4 linked regions of the Sus scrofa genome follow. The protein of the gene in region 3 purifies or fractionates together with the protein of the main gene of each other region. This does not show direct contact. Links are inferred from orthologs where the notes say so. Each region holds a gene or a part of one and is shown on either strand. Other genes may lie near its edges. The genes, in order: IGF2BP1, TRIM21, ELAVL1 and BTRC.

Region 1 (3,562 bases), on a different chromosome or scaffold from region 3:
ATCCAGCGTTGCCGTGAGCTGTGGTGTAGGTTGCAGACGTGGCTCGGATCCCGCGGTGCTGTGGCTCTGGCGTAGGCTGGTGGCTACAGCTCCGATTCGACCCCTAGCCTGGGAACCTCCATATGCCGCGGGAGCGGCCCAAGAAATGGCAAAAAGACCAAAAAAAAAAAAAAAAAAAAAGTCATTCTCTCCCCCTCAAAGTGAAAAGGTGGTGAGTGTTACAGCAAAACACAAAGCAGGGTAAAGGAGGTGGTGGCCAGAGGTACAATTTCATAAACGGTGAAGAGAAAGGGCTTTGCTTAGAAAGCAGCGTTTGAGGAGTTCCCGCGGTAGCTCAGCGCAACTGGCATCCATGAGGACTCGGGTTCGGATCCCTGGCCTTACTCAGCGGGTTAAGGATCCAGCCTTGCTGTGAGCGGTAGTGTAGGTTGCAGACGGGACTCGAATCCCACGTGGCGGTGGCTGTGGTGGAGGCCAGCAGCTGTAGCTCTGCTTTGACCCTAGCCTGGGAACTTCCATATGCCTCAAGTGTGGCCCTAAGAAGACCAAAAACAAACAAACAAACAAAAAAAACCCCAAAAAACACCCCACACATTTTCTATTCTGTTCTATCTGGGAAGCGGACACGTGTGTTATCCCTCCCTGGTGAGCCTAGGAAGGATTTTAACCAGTGGTGACTCCTTCCGGGCCACCTACTGAGGCTCTCCATGTGTGTCCAAGCCATTGCTCAGTCTCTGTCAGGGGAGTAACTCAGTGGCCAGTCTAAGCTGTGAGCAGGACTGGACAATGATTATCAGTGCTTCCAGTTGTGATAAAAGGCAAGGCGTGGGATTGAAGCAGAAGAGAACCCGTTTGATTGATTATACACTTCATACCTTCGTGCAGGCAAGTATTTTAATCACTTTTAATGGTTTACATCATGCTCCATTCCACACAGAGTTTGGAAATGAATATTTAAATCTTGTCTAAGTTTCTTTCTGTTTTTTTTTTTTTTTTTTTTTTTTGCTTTTCGGGGCCGCACCTGAGGCATATGGAAGCACCCAGACCAGGGATCTAATCAGCTACAGCTGCCGGGCCTACACCACAGCCACAGCCACAGCCACGTGGGATCCGAGCCGTGTCTGTGACCTACACCACAGCTCACAGCAATGCTGGATCTCTGACCCACTGAGTAAGGCCAGGGATTGAACCTGAATCCTCATGGATACTAGTCAGTTTTGTTTCCGCTGTACCACAACGGGAACTCCTGGCCTAGGTTTCTTAAAAGATCTGCAGGCTCAAACTGTGTTTGTCTACCTCATGACCAAGCTGTACTTTATGTCCAACCAAAATCACTCCAGATTTTATTTTAGTTCATTTCCTTTGAAAAAAATTTATCATCTTAAGCAGTGGAGAAATGATAAAAAGTAATAGCAAACTTTTTATCTACAACTTCCATCTACATTCTTTCATTATTTCTCTTTTCAGTGGGCCCACTCTTGAAAGATTTTGCCTGCCTATCAATATGTATTAATAAATTCTCTGCTTTGGGGGGTTTGTTTTTGGTTTGGTTTGGTTGGGTTGCGGGGGGGCACACCTGCAGCATTGAGAAGTTCCTAGGCCAGGGATCGAACCCATGCTGCAGCAGTGACCCGAGCTACAGTTGGGAATAACGCCAGATCCTTAATCCGCTGTGCTGCAGGGGAACTCCACCATTTCCATTCTTTGTGGATTTTATTCCTAAACTCTTGGGACCTTTATTTCTTCCTTGGTTGGCCCCAGGAGCCTGGGGACCCCATGCTGGGAATGAGTGACTTCGTTGCTTTCCTTATGAAACAGTGGAGAAACCTGCTCCAGAGAGAAGCAGTAGAGCTGAAGCCGGGACCACACGTCCCGGTTCACACTGCGGTGTGCCTCCCTCCACACCACGTTTTAGCTGCCTTCTCTTGGTGCTCCAGGAGGTAAACTTGGCAACAGAAATCGAAGCAGGGAGACACCCCCCTCGCTCCTCCAACACCCACCCCTCCATCGCTGCCCTACCTCCCCTGCCCACTCTTACCTTGCTCGCAGTTCTCTACTGTTCCATACTGAGCCAGCAGGCTGTCCAGTACCTGGGAGCAGGGAGAAGGGGACACAGCTGCTCTGAGCACCCCAGGAACTCATACAGCCAGCACTGGACACCCCTCATCCCCAAGCACTGGGGCACAGGCGGCGCCTTTGGTGTGGGGATGGAGCAGCTACCTGCTTGCTTTGCCCTTTCTAGGGGACTCATGCGGGTGGTGACCTGTTGGGGTTTCTTTGCAGAATATACTTTAGCTCAAGAAGACATTTAAGCGCCTTTCTGGAAGCCGGATTGTGCCACGCGGGTCCCTAACTTACCCTTTGTCATTACTAAGTTTGGGGTTCAGGGACTGCCCCTCCCACTTCCGTCAGGCCTCTCACCACAGGGACAGAACAAACACAGAAGCCTGAGGTTAGGGCTGAGACCCAGCCAGTCTCCCCTCAGCCCCAAGCCACCAGGACACCTCCCCGTCACCTCTGCCAACGCAGGCTGACCCAGACTCCCTTCCCAGTCTCTGTGATGACCCCACACCACCGATTCGAGAATCCCCCGATCACTTACTTCCCATCGCAGCTGGGGTGGAATATTTCGGATCTGTATTTTCCGACTCCTGAAATCAGAGAGAACAGTGTCAGTGACAGCTCTGGGTGCTTTTTAGGGGCCCATGACCGTGTGGGTTTTAATCCTTATCCCAGTCTACCTTCCTGTTTTCTGCTGCTCAACCCCAAAGCCTTAGAGTTGAAGAATGATAACCTTTGGGAGTGAAGATGTGGTGGTGGGGGGGGGCTTGCTTACTGTCAGTGCTACCGCAGATGGGAAGGCCAAATCAGAGGCCCTATAGGCTAGGAAAACCAAAGCCCCCCCGCCCCCGCCCCGTCCCATCTGCTTTGTGTATCTCTCTTAGTTGCTCACTAGTTCTCTTACTCAGTAACCGTCTATAACCCACTGTGTGACAGGCTCTAAGAATACAAAGCTAGCTACACAAATTATTCCATGAATCATTTATCTGATACCTTTTCAATCGGCACCTACCTCATGCCGGATTTTGTTCTACCTGCTGGGGACATAGTGATAAACAAAGCAAAGTACTGGAGTTCCCGTCATGGCTCAGTGGTTAATGAATCCGACTAGGAACCCTGAGGTTGTGGGTCTGATCCCTGGCCTTGCTCAGGGGGTTAAGGATCCGGCGTTGCCATGAGCTGAGGTGTAGGTTGCAGACTAGGCTCAGATCCCGTGTTGCTGTGGCTCTGGCATAGACTGGTGGCTACAGCTCCAATTTGACCCCTAGCCTGGGAACCTCCATATGCCGAGGGAGCGGCCCAAGAAATGGCAAAATGACAAAAAAAAAAAAAAAAAAAAAAAGGCAAACTACCTGGTCTCAAGGTGCTCACAATTTATTAGGGGAAACATGTATGCAAACAAATTACAGCAGGATAATAGGCAGCAGCTAAACTCCTTTTTTTTTCTTTTGGTACAGATATGGATTTAAACCTGTGCTCCACTCAATAGCACTGATCTTTA
Region 2 (4,352 bases), on a different chromosome or scaffold from region 3:
CTAGTCTGATTCATTAACCGCTGAGCCACGACGGGAACTCCCGATATTTATTTTATATGGGGACAAAAGAAATGAGTAGGAAGGAAGTGAGAGTTTTTCCAGCCTCACCATCTTCCTTCTCTACAGCACATGAGCACACCTATCAGCTGCGCCTACAACCTCTGCTTGGACTCTCAGGCAGCCTGTTATCTCCTGGCTGTCCCTAACACGAGGGTCCTCCCTGAACTTTTAACTCTCAGGCACCATGGTTTACCGTGTCACTTAAAGTCACCTCACTCCCTTTATTCTCAGTGTCCTCTCCTGTGACAATAACTCAACTGCTAAGTCGCTGCGTGGCTTAAAGCAAACAACCTGACACAGCAGTATTAACCCTAACCCTAACCAGTAGGCGGAAGCCACCCACCCCAAGCATCCGTCGACAGATAACCGGATAATCAAAATGAATACTCAGACGCTGGAATATCGCTCAGCCTTAAAAGGAAGGCAGTCCTGTCACCGGCTCCGGTGGATGAACCTTGAGGATCTCAGGTTATGTGAAATACACCAGTCACAAAGGGACAAATACGGTAGGATGCCACTTACGTAAGGCACCGAAAACGTCAAACTCACAGAGACAGAGAACAGAATGGTGGTTGCCAGGGGCTGAGGGGAGGGAGGAATGGGAAACTATTGTTTAATGGGGGCAGAGTTCACGTTTCGCAAGATCAAAGTTCTGTGTGTGGATAGTGTGACGGTCATACAATAATGTGAATGCATTTAATGCCACGCAACTAGACACTTACAAATGGCTAAGATGGTGAATGCTATGTGTATTTTGCTGCAAATTTTAAAATTGATAATAATAAACCTGAGAAAACCCCTAGCTCAGTGAGAAGTTTACAGTTGGTGCTCAATAAATGTCAGGCCCCTTCGTCCCACTCCCTGGTGTGATACCCACCTTGGAGAAATGCAGGAAAAAAATCCCTCTCTCCCCAATGTTAATTACCGCATCTCCTAAAAAGAATTTTTTCCTGAAGTAGGAGAGAGAAACTGGCCTTTTTTTTTTTTTTTTTTTTTTTTTTGCTTTTCAGGAACACACTTGTGGCATATGGAGGTTCCCAGGCTAGGGATCAAATAAGAGCTACAGGGGACGGCCTTCAACCACAGCCACAGCCACACCAGATCCCAGCGGCGCCTGAAACCTACACCACCGCTCACCGAAAGGTCAGATCCTTAACGCACTGAGCGAGGCCAGGGATGGAACCCACATCCTCATGGATCCTAGTCGGGTTGGTTAACCACTGAGCCATGAAGGGAACTCCCTAGAGACGGTGGCCTTTGTGGGAGAGCTCCCCCGAGCTCCTTCGGTCACCCCAAACTCCTTAAGGCAGCTCTGGGTGGCACGGTACGGAGGCTGGGGCTAAGCACCCGAGTCAAAGAGAGCAGCCTCTCCACGGAGCAGTCACACTACTTGAGGCCACTAGACAGAGAGACTTGGAAAGGAGCGCAAAGCAAGGACTGGATGCTGCGGAGCCTCTGAGCCATCCTAGCCCCGGGGCGCTGACACTGGCCGAAGCTCAACGCGCCCGCCTCCCGCCTTCCGCCTCCGCCCCTTCCCTCCCCTTCCTTTCAGACTTGCGCTCGACGGGAAATGCGGGAAATCGAAAGTGAAACTTGGAGCCAGCTATTATCTGCGGAGTCCCTTGAAAAGGTGAGTGGATTCACGAACTCGGTTAGACCCGGGTACCCCAGGCCTCCCCGGGGGACCGCTCTCCGCTGCCCCGGATCTGAAGAGCCCCTTGCAGCCGAGCTCTCTGCTGCCCCAGAGCCCTCTTGGGCGCAGGGTTCCCTCGACCCTAACCGGCGGTTTTCCCCGTGCTGCCGTCCGCCCGGGAGGAGGCTGGGCTGTGAACCGACTTCCAAGTCCTCCGGAGCCCAGGGCGGGGTAGGCCTGCCATCCCCGAGACGCCCATCCACAAAAGTCCCCTCTGGAAACGACAGGGGCAGGGTTGCTTAGGGTATTAGAAGTTTTGGGGTCTGTGCCCTGGAGGAAACAAAGACAGGTGCCTGCTTCAGGAAGCTGAGGGAACAGGTGGGGGAGTGCTCTTTAGACATGTGTGGGTGTGTGGGTGTGTCTGTGTGTGTGTACACACATAGGTATGTACACCTGCACATATGGATAAATATGTGCACGTGCAGATGTGTGTGTATATATATACTTATTTATATGTTCATATTGTGGGTGATAGATAGCTCCTTCCTGCCAAGTTTCAGGGATTAATGAGGAGGAATGTGAAGTATGTGCCTCCCGGCACGGGGGAAGGGGCATGGTAAGTGGTCGCTGCTATTAGGATTAGCTTCTCAGCAGAGCAAGAGGACCAGTGGCTGGAGATGGAAGATGGACGAGTAAGCCTGGGCGCCGAGGGTTTCAGCAGAGATAGACATGAAAGTGGAACTGTAAGCAGCTTGATCTCAGATTCCCAGCAATTTTTGCTATCTCTTTTGAGGACTCAGTTTCCCCTTCTGTCTGACTGGCTCATTGGACCAGACTCCGGAGGAGAAGCCCTTGTGACTCAGGTTGACGTCGTTGTTACCTTTGTTTTCAGCCCCTCCAGTTCACGCTCCCTCGAGGTCTCCTTTGAATTGTTCTGTTTTCCTCACACAGCTCTTCTCATCGCCTTCTTTCCTTTTCTCCCCTCCCCGCTAGGCCACCCCGAGATCTCCTCAGCGCTGCTTCATAGCCCGGCAGCACCATGGCCTCAGCACTGCCCTTGGCAAGGATGTGGGATGAGGTCACGTGCTCCATCTGCCTGGATCCCATGGTGGAGCCCGTGAGCATCGAATGTGGCCACAGCTTCTGCCAGGAATGCATCTCCGAGGTTGGGAAGGATGGGGGCAGCGTCTGTCCTGTGTGCCGGCAGCACTTCCTGCTCAGGAACCTCCGGCCCAATCGGCAGGTGGCCAACATGGTGGATAACCTCAAAGAGATGAGCCAGGGGGTCAAGGAAGGCCCGCAGTGGGAGCTGTGTGCGGTGCACGGAGAGAAGCTTCACCTGTTCTGTAAGGACGATGGGAAGGTCCTTTGCTGGGTGTGTTCCCAGTCCCGGAAACACCGGGACCACACCATGGTCCCCATTGAGGAGGCGGCTCAGGAGTACCAGGTGAGGCCTTAGCCCGGAGGCACCTGGGCACGAGCAGGCGGGAAGAAGGTGGGGCCCTGATAAGCGCTTTGTTCTCCCGGGCTGGGGGTGGGACCGAGTCACCTGTGGAGTTGAGGGGTTGGGGACAGGAAGGGGATCCCCTGCCTTCTATGTCCTATTTAAGGGAAGACCCACCATCTCGGCACGATTTTCCCACTGCCCAGGAGCAGGGCGTCTGTTGTGGGAAAAGGCTGCAAGGCCCATGCTTCTGTGTGGCCTCCTGGTTAATTAGGAACGAATGTGTCCCCACCCCCACCACGCCAACAGGGTACCTCTATTTCCTAAGAAACATCAGGCTTTTTCCAGAGTCTTCCCATCACAGAATGCCCACCCCGGTCAGAGGCTCACCCTTCCTCCTCCCCGCCTCAGGCTTTTCTAAGGACCAGTAGGATCCTCCTGGACCTTGTGCCCCCCCACCCTACTTTTTGGTCTGACTGGGCATTACCCGCTGTCTTTCTCTGCAGGAGAAGCTCCAGGTGGCACTCGAGAAACTCAGAAATAAACAGGAGCAGGCTGAGAAGCTGGAAGCGGATATTGCAACGAAGAGAGCAGCCTGGAAGGCAAGGGGCACGTCCTGAAGGGCACTTTAGATCAGAAGCCTGGGGAGGGTCCAGGGTCCTGGCCTCGAGAGCTCTGTGCATAGCTATGCCCGTCAGGAGACTGGGAGTCCCCATGTGTCAGTCTCCAAAAACCAGCCGTGCCCTGGGTCTCCTGAGAGAAGGGAGCAGGAAAGCACGGTGCCCAAAAGGCGGGCACTCCAGTCAGACGCAAAGACAGGGGGTCTTGGGGAGAATGCACGGGGACAAGACGGACCCCAAAGCTCCTGTTCCTGGAGCCCGGTCTCAGGCGATGACAGCACAGGGCCCGTGTCTGCAACAGAGGAGTCCCAGGAAGGAATGCCCGGTGGCTCGGCCTGTCGGGACATGACAAGGGCTCTGAGGACAGACTTAAGGAGCCATCAAGGCCTGAGGGAGGAAAACCAGCCTGACCAGGGGTTTCTTGACGGCGTGCTGTTCCTGGTGCAAGGTGTCGCGGGAGCTACGGCCTGTTCTGCTCCAGGGCTTGGGCAGCAGTGGGTCAGGAACTAGAGACAGTGGGAGGAGCTCATGGACCCGGGAAGGGTGAGTCAGGCTGTGGCGGCAAGAGAGGTCATCTCGTGTCATCACGTCCCTC
Region 3 (4,170 bases):
AGCTGGTGATTATTAAATGAGACACTGCTGATTAAAAGGCATGCCCATGATGGGAGAAAGTTCTGTTGGATAAACATGACACTATACTACACTATGATTATTTTTTCAGTGTTCTTGACTCTTTCTGGTCCTTCTGCAGATCCTATTGTCTCAATCTTCCTAACAGTCCTCTTTCAAACTGAAATCCCCACATTCCTCACCTATGCCCTCTGTCCAATTTACTTTTCCTCTTACCACTTTTCACCACTGTGTGTGGAATCCACTTGATTTCTTTTCTGCCTCCTCATCTAGCACTGCACGGTCTCATACAGTAGTCACTGGCAACTGCGCTGTTGAGCCCTTGAAACGTAGCCAGTCCAACTTCAGAAGCGCTGTGAGTGTAAAAAAACACCAGATTTCAAAAGCACGTAAAGAAGGAAAAAAAAAAAAAAACATAAAAAGATCTCAGAACTTTTTATATTGGTTACATGTTGAAACAGCTTTTTGGACATAAATTGGGTTCAATAAAACACATCATTAAAATTAACATCTCCTGTTTCTTTTTATTTTTCCCCCTCTAGCATGGCTATAAGAAACGTTAAATTACTCATGTGGCTAACATTTGTGGTACGCTTATACCGCTCTTGGACAGAGCCAGCCTAGAATGTCAACCAAATAGAGGCAGGTATTTTGGCTAGTTCACTGTGCACACATTGACTGGCACGTAGTAGGCACTCAATTAAATTTTAATGAATGGGTGTTAGGCTGAGCATCGGGGTAAACTGCTAGCTCTGATAAGCAACACTGATGGAACGCTGACGGCATCCCATGCCCCGCCTACTCATTACACCAGATAAGGAAACTGAGGCCCGCCGAGGTGACGTCAGCCCCTGCCCAAGGGTACGTAGTGCGGAAACGCTGGGGCCAGGATTCGAACCCGAGTCCTGCCTTTACAGTCCTGGTGCACTGACCGCTCCTACCTTGTAGGGTGGTAACGGTGGCCGCGGCGGCGGTGGGACACATAGGCTCGAGACACACAAAATGCCCCCGATAAAGGGCGCGGCTCTTCGGTCACCGCCTTCCGTCGGCCGCCGTGGGCCAAGCCCCAACTGGCCCCCTCCGCGGCCATCGCCGGCCACCCGCGTCTCTGCCTGCCGCCGAGCCCTTCTCAGGCGGCGCCAGCCGGAAGTCCCGCCTCCGCCGCGCGCCCCGGGGCGCCGCGACAGCAACGCCGGCCAACGAGAAGCGCGCAGTGGCGGACGCTGGCCAATGGGTGCGCGCGTCGGGGGGGCGTGTCCGGGCCGCGGGCCGGAGCGGGTCGTGCGCGCTGAGGAGGAGCCGCCGCCGCCGTCGCCGTCGCCGCCGCTGCCGCCACCGCTACCGAGGCCGAGCGGAGCCGTTAGCGCCGCGCCGCCGCCGCCCGCCCGACCCGGAGCAGCCCCGGGCCATCCCGCCCGCGTCCAGGTGAGGCGGGGGCCTTCGGCGGCGCTCGACGGGGTAGGCCGCGGCAGGCCTGAGCTCGCCTGGCCGGGCCGCGGGCGCTCGCGGGCCTGCACCGGCCGAGGCCCAGGCCGCGCGGGGCTGGGAGGGGACGCGCACGGGCCTCGGCGAGCTGGCGAGGGCCGGCCGCTGTGGGCGCCGGCGACAGGCCCCGGGCCGGATTCCTTGGCCGCCGCGAGGGCCGAAAGAGGGGGACGCGGCGTGGGCACGCGCCTGGCGGCCGGGCTCCACGGCCGGGCCGGGGTAGTCTTGCAAGCCGGCTATCCGGGGGCGGGAGAGCGAAGCCAGAGACGAGGGAGTCGGGTGAGCGCCTTCAGCGCGCAGAGGTCACGGCCCACGGGCACGCTCCCCGGGGAAATCCTATACATTCTTTTGTGGTCGTTGTCAGAGGACCGCGGCCGATCTGAGGTCCTTTTAGAAGTGTGCAAACCCTTCACTATGTATGAGGGTCGAAGAAAAATATATATTTATGGACGCCATCTCTAACAAAGCTGTTTTTGAGGCGTGGGACGTTTGGGTTTGTAAAATTGTGTGTGTGTGTAAAACATAAACTGCACGCAGTTGAACAATGGAGGATGGATGTTCTTCCTTTTCCGGCGTCCTCCGCTGCTAGGCTTATTAAAATGGGTTCTAATACCTACTGTTTGTAGGGCATGTGGGGAAGAACTTCTGCAGGCCCTGCCCCTGGAGGAACAGAGCCCCCTCCCCTTTACTGAAAGTATTCCTGTGGAATCCTGAGAACCAATGTCCAGAAGTGGGACGATGGGGAGGAGGATTCAAGGGTTTTCAACCTTGGCGCTACTGACATTTGGGATCTGATCATTTTTGGTTTGTGGGGGAGGGCTGTTCTGTGTATGGTAGGATGCTGAGTAGCATCCCTGGCCTCTACCCACGAGACGCCAGCAGCATCCATGTCCCCTAGTTGTGAAGATCAAAAATATCTTCAGATGTTGCTGAAAGTATCTCACACACACACACACACACACACACACGCGCGCGCGCGCGCTTACACATGTGAGAACCACCACTGGACTAAATGATATTACCCTAAAAGTTCCCTTAGCCCCATCTCTGATGCCTTGGAACGGAAGGCTCCCAAAACGTTGAACAGATTCAGCTGTGGGAGCCTTCGTTTTCTTATCTATGAAACAGGACGGATGAGAATATTGCTGTACAGATATTAAGGATGTGGGAAACCCCAGCATTGTGTGTGACCTGTGCCTGGTAGGCATTGAATATATAACATTATAAACAGTTGACAGTGTTTAGTGAGCATTTACTAGGTGTTTTACACTCACAGACTTTTGTTTGTCTTTAGCCTTGAGGTAGGTGCCGTTGTAATTTCTATTTGGGGACAAAGAAACAGGCTTGCATGGGTCACTTAATGTGACCAGTCTCACACAGTGAAGTGTGATGATGGCAGGAGTTGAGCTCAGGCCCTCTGATTCGGAGTCTTTACTCTTAGGCACTGGATTTTACTGCCGTTATAATCGCAGGGTCCAGGGGACCTCAGTTGACATTGCATTGAATTATCATTGAGCATCTTCTGTGTACAGGATTCTGTGCTGGGATCTGTTACAAAATTCAAGGTCCATCAAGAAGCAAAGCTATATGAACATCTCAAAATGTGGAAAAAATGTTTATGTTGAAGCACTGATTTGGAGGCAGAATTTCAGTTTGGATGTGTTGAGTCTGAGGTCATGGGACAGCAAAGTGCAAAACAAGAGGAGAATTATAAAAATGCCATCTTCTTGATGCTTGCTTTTGCCTCTTTCACTCCTGTTCCCACCTCTATCATCTTTCCACACTCCAGCAAGAGTTGTCTTTTTTTTTTTTTTTTTTTTTAATGCAGGTCTGATTATGTTACTCCCAATTAAGAGTCTTCGGGTGGGGAAAAATAATTTTTTAACCTATTTATGTGGCTTAAAAGCTACCTCAAGTTTGAGATCCCAGGTCTTTTGCACTCTAATCCTCCCTTCTGTTTTGATTTTACCTGCACATCAGCCCTAAGCGCCAACCCTTCTCTACCTGTTGCCCCCACTGCTTGGAATGCCATTGTCCTCCACCTCGAGATCTCTTTCTCATGCTGTGTGGCTCAGGTCAGAGCTCACTCACCATTTGAAGCCTCCTCCGACTGCCACACTTCCTCTGGCCACACTGCAAATATTTCTTCCCTCGTTTGTGTCCCCATCTCATTCAATGGAATCAAATGCTGGTGAGAGAAGTGCAGTTGCCTCCTTTCGCCCCAAGGTGGCAGTAGTGATGCAGCGAGGCTGATCGGAGAACTCTCGGTCGGGGAAGACCAGAGGAAACCAGACCACGGAAGGGAGGTTAGTTTTGCTTCCCTCCTTTAACCAACTTTCTCTGCCCTGATGCTATGTCCTAGGCACCATGCTAGGCTCTGGGGGGGGGGGGGCGCATTGGTGATTTCGAGGTGTTGCATAGATTGTTTTAGCTCACTCTGTTGAGTGTGATAATGGCTCTGTGCTGACTGATTTTTCCCCACCCGAAACAGAGAAGGAAACTGTTCCCCCATAAGGGAGATCACAGAATCTTCCCGGAGGAGGTGAAGCTTGAGGGGTGGGGAGGAGTCAGCCAGGCCAAGACTGTGGGGAAGGACTTGGCAGGATGCAGGAACGGTACAGGCAAAGGCATGGAGGCAGGAACATCTTGGTTTGTGCAGGGAATTGT
Region 4 (3,562 bases), on a different chromosome or scaffold from region 3:
TATTTTGTCTTTTTAGCTATTTCTTGGGCCACTCCCGCGGCACATGGAGGTTCCCAGGCTAGGCCTATGCCAGAGCCACAGCAACGCAGGATCCGAGCCTCGTCTGCAACCTACACCACAGCTCGCGGCAACGCCGGATTGTTAACCCACTGAGCAAGGGCAGGGACCGAACCCGCAACCTCATGGTTCCTAGTCGGATTCGTTAACCACTGCACCATGACAGGAACTCCGGAAAAAACATTTTAATCTACCTAAATGTTCAATAAAGGGGTTAAATAATGTGTTTTAACCATCATAAAGAATATACAATATTATAAAAAATTATGTTTTAGAAGAACCAACACTTAGTAAAATATATTAAGAAAACATAATAAGAAAAAAATATTACAAACACTTAGAAAATGTTACTCAACATTTCCCCCAGCTTTAGGGGAAAATATACACACCTAGAAAGAATGTTAATAGCACATCAGTAGTTCTCTCTGAATGGTAGGGTTCTGGGAAATTTTACTTTTATATTCTAAACTTTTTTGGAGTTTCTAAATTTCCTATAACTTTATTGCTATAATCAGGAAACAACAACTGAAAAAAATAAGAGCAAGATGTGCTACTTTAGAGATTCACTCCTTTTTGTGCAATTTTTCTTTTAAAATAAGCTTTCACCACATGTGAGAACTTGTATCTTCCTGAGACAGCATTTTCCCCAAACACTGATGCCAATGAAGTATCCTACCTCACTATCAAACATTCAGTAAAACAACCACGGCACTTTTCAAATTACTTTCTGTGTGTGTGTATACAGATAATATATATATATATTTAAGTGTGTGTGTATATATATGCACAAATGTATGTATTTTAAAATATACAGTTTAGAATATCTAGTTACTGATCAATGAGGCTATAGAGCAAGACACATCTTGAACCAAATAACACCTAAGACAAGATTTTATTTAAATCTATGTGTGAGTAAAAACAGGGTGAATAGAAGGGATGAGATAGGGAGAAGAGAAGAAAAAGAGAAGTCTCTTTACAGAGTTTGATTTTTGTATTTATATTCCAAGAAGATATGATTGAAATACTGTTTGTAAAAATCAAGCCAATAAAGGTTTTTTAAAAAAGAGAGATGCAGGAGTTCCCAATGTGGCTCAGGAGTAATGAACCCGACTAGCATCCATGAGGTAAGGACGTAGGTTTGATCCCTGGCCCTACTCAGTGGGTTAAGGATCTGGCATTGCCGTGAGCAGTGGTGTAGGTCACAGACATGGCTAGGATCTGGTGTTGCTGTGGCTGTGGCGTAGGCTGGCAGCTATAGCTCTGATTCGACCCCTAGCCTGGGAACTTCCATATGTCGCATCTGTGGCCCTAAAAATACAAAATAATAATAATAAATAAAAAAGAGAGATGTATAGCTGAAAATTCAATATGATTCCCATTGTAACATATCTTCCAGGCAAATTGATGGCTTACAAATACCCGTAGACATACCTGGCAGGGCAGTTATGAAATCCCTCTGCAACATAGGTTTAAGATAGGAGTTTATGTGCCCATGTTGGTAATGACACATTTGGGATATAAGATGTTCCACAAATTCCACTTGATCAGACTCTGACCACTGCTCAAAATATTTGACACACAGTTCCTTTTCCTTCTCATAGCTTGCTGAGAGTTTCCGTTGCTTGGGCACAATCATACTGGAAGTGCCATTGGCAAGTTTTGTCTGTAGGTGAATTAAAAGAAACATTTAAAAGTAAGTATTGGAAATAAGGGAGATATATAATTTTCCAGTCTGGCATGCTCTGTTATGTCTATATGATGGAGCTCACTCTGTTACTCTATTAGTAATTGGATGTTTGTGCACAGCAATAATATGGAAAACCACAGAAATACAACTGTTAAGTTTGTAAATTAGGAATACTGTTCAACGACTAAGCATCCATTTCCAAAAGTTCAGAGGAAAATGTTATTTGGAGACATACAAATGAAAATCAAAAGCTGAAAGTATGTTATAGCAAGCAAAAAAGCTAACTTGCTTTTTCTTGTATACAACAATTACTGGGCATTTATATAACTACTCACGACTTTTTTTTTTTTTCTTTTTTACAGCTGCACTCGAGGCATATGGAAGTTCCCAGGCTAGGGGTCGAATCAGAGATACAGCTGAGGCCTACACCAGAGCCACGGCAATGCTGGATCTGAGCTGCATCTGCAACCTACGCTGCAGCTTGCGGCAATGTCAGATCCTTAACCCACTGAACAAGGCCAGGGGTTGAACATTCATCCTCATGGATGCTATGTCAGGTTCTTAACCCATTGAGCCTCAATGGGAACTCCCACTCACAACTTATTTACCAGTCAAGTAAGAAATCTTCCATGCAAAGAAAAACCAATGAATACTTTGAGACCCTGGTACCTCTGAAGATAAGACTTGAATAACTTCAATGCTCAATATACCCTTTTTAATATACCTTTTTTCTTTTCTTTTCTTTTTTCTTTTTTTTTTTTTTTTGGTCTTTTTGCTATTTCTTTGGGCCGCACCCGCAGCATATGGAGGTTCCCAGGCTAGGGGTCCAATCGGAGCTGTAGCCACTGGCCTATGCCAGAGCCACAGCAACGCGGGATCCGAGCCGCGTCTGCAACCTACACCACAGCTCATGGCAACGCTGGATCCTTAACCCACTGAGCAAGGCAGGCCGAACCGCACCTCATGGTTCCAGCGATCGTTACCACTGGCCACGGGATCCTAATATTTTTTCATATACTTTTTTCCAATATACTTTTAAAAAACTTAAAAAATCCCTCACTGTATTCAATTATACATAATCTTTTATTAGTTGTTCATTCATAATATGTTTTTTGTTTTGCTTGCTTTTAAGCCTCGGCATATGGAGTTCCAGCTAGGGTCGATCGAGTACAGCTGCTGACCTACCCATAGCTCACAGCACGTCGGATCCTTAACCACTGAGCGAGGCCAGGGATTGAACCTGTAACCTCATGGTTCCTAGTTGGATTCATTTCCACTGCGCCACAACGGGAACTCCTCACTCAATAAATATTAATTGAGCATCTGGAATGTGTCAAACACTGTCCTAACCATTAGGAATACAACACTGAACAAAAATAACATAATTGCTACTATCAGTAACTTACACTGTATTATGTACAGCAAGTTAAAAGCATTACCATATAAACAGAAAATATAATACAGACAGATTTTGAGGAAAAATAAAGCAAGATAAAGGGATAGAAAAATAAATGAATGTTTCTGTAACAAGCGAAATCCTAGGATGGTCCCACAAGAAATTCTTGGCCCCAGATATACAAACATCTTCTCTCAGTTTCAAACAAACATGTAGCTAACTGCTATGACTTAAATCAGGACCTTAAGATAGGGAGATTATTCCAGTGGGTATGACCGAATGACATGAGTGCCTTTAAAAGCAGAGAGTTTTTCCAATTGGTTGCAAAAGAGAAGGGGAACACCTGGCAAGGCATTTGATGAGTCTTAGAAGCTGAAAGCAGCTTTCAGCACAGCACCGGTAAGGAAATGGGGACCTCAAAA

Evidence for each region.
Region 1: the proteins of ELAVL1 (region 3) and IGF2BP1 purify together in Homo sapiens (co-immunoprecipitation; 3 studies listed by BioGRID and IntAct, with this or other methods). This does not show direct contact. The link is inferred for Sus scrofa from reciprocal best matches to the Homo sapiens genes ELAVL1 and IGF2BP1.
Region 2: the proteins of ELAVL1 (region 3) and TRIM21 purify together in Homo sapiens (affinity purification with western blotting; 3 studies listed by BioGRID, with this or other methods). This does not show direct contact. The link is inferred for Sus scrofa from reciprocal best matches to the Homo sapiens genes ELAVL1 and TRIM21.
Region 4: the proteins of ELAVL1 (region 3) and BTRC purify together in Homo sapiens (affinity purification with western blotting; 4 studies listed by BioGRID, with this or other methods). This does not show direct contact. The link is inferred for Sus scrofa from reciprocal best matches to the Homo sapiens genes ELAVL1 and BTRC.

Annotation. Positions count from the first base shown.
Region 1 is NC_010454.4:25,224,424-25,227,985, reverse strand, and holds part of IGF2BP1 (insulin-like growth factor 2 mRNA-binding protein 1), read right to left. Parts: intron 2,652-3,562; coding exon 2,603-2,651; intron 2,091-2,602; coding exon 2,039-2,090; intron 1-2,038. UniProt on the Homo sapiens protein: RNA-binding factor that recruits target transcripts to cytoplasmic protein-RNA complexes (mRNPs). This transcript 'caging' into mRNPs allows mRNA transport and transient storage.
Region 2 is NC_010451.4:5,780,590-5,784,941, forward strand, and holds the start of TRIM21 (E3 ubiquitin-protein ligase TRIM21), read left to right. Parts: upstream 1-1,543; 5' UTR 1,544-1,690; intron 1,691-1,717; exon of another isoform or gene 1,718-1,924; intron 1,925-2,686; 5' UTR 2,687-2,732; coding exon 2,733-3,140; intron 3,141-3,643; coding exon 3,644-3,739; intron 3,740-4,352. UniProt on the Homo sapiens protein: E3 ubiquitin-protein ligase whose activity is dependent on E2 enzymes, UBE2D1, UBE2D2, UBE2E1 and UBE2E2.
Region 3 is NC_010444.4:71,205,825-71,209,994, forward strand, and holds the start of ELAVL1 (ELAV-like protein 1), read left to right. Parts: upstream 1-1,316; 5' UTR 1,317-1,443; intron 1,444-4,170. UniProt on the Homo sapiens protein: RNA-binding protein that binds to the 3'-UTR region of mRNAs and increases their stability.
Region 4 is NC_010456.5:112,552,235-112,555,796, reverse strand, and holds part of BTRC (F-box/WD repeat-containing protein 1A), read right to left. Parts: intron 1,721-3,562; coding exon 1,489-1,720; intron 1-1,488. UniProt on the Homo sapiens protein: Substrate recognition component of a SCF (SKP1-CUL1-F-box protein) E3 ubiquitin-protein ligase complex which mediates the ubiquitination and subsequent proteasomal degradation of target proteins. Recognizes and binds to phosphorylated target proteins.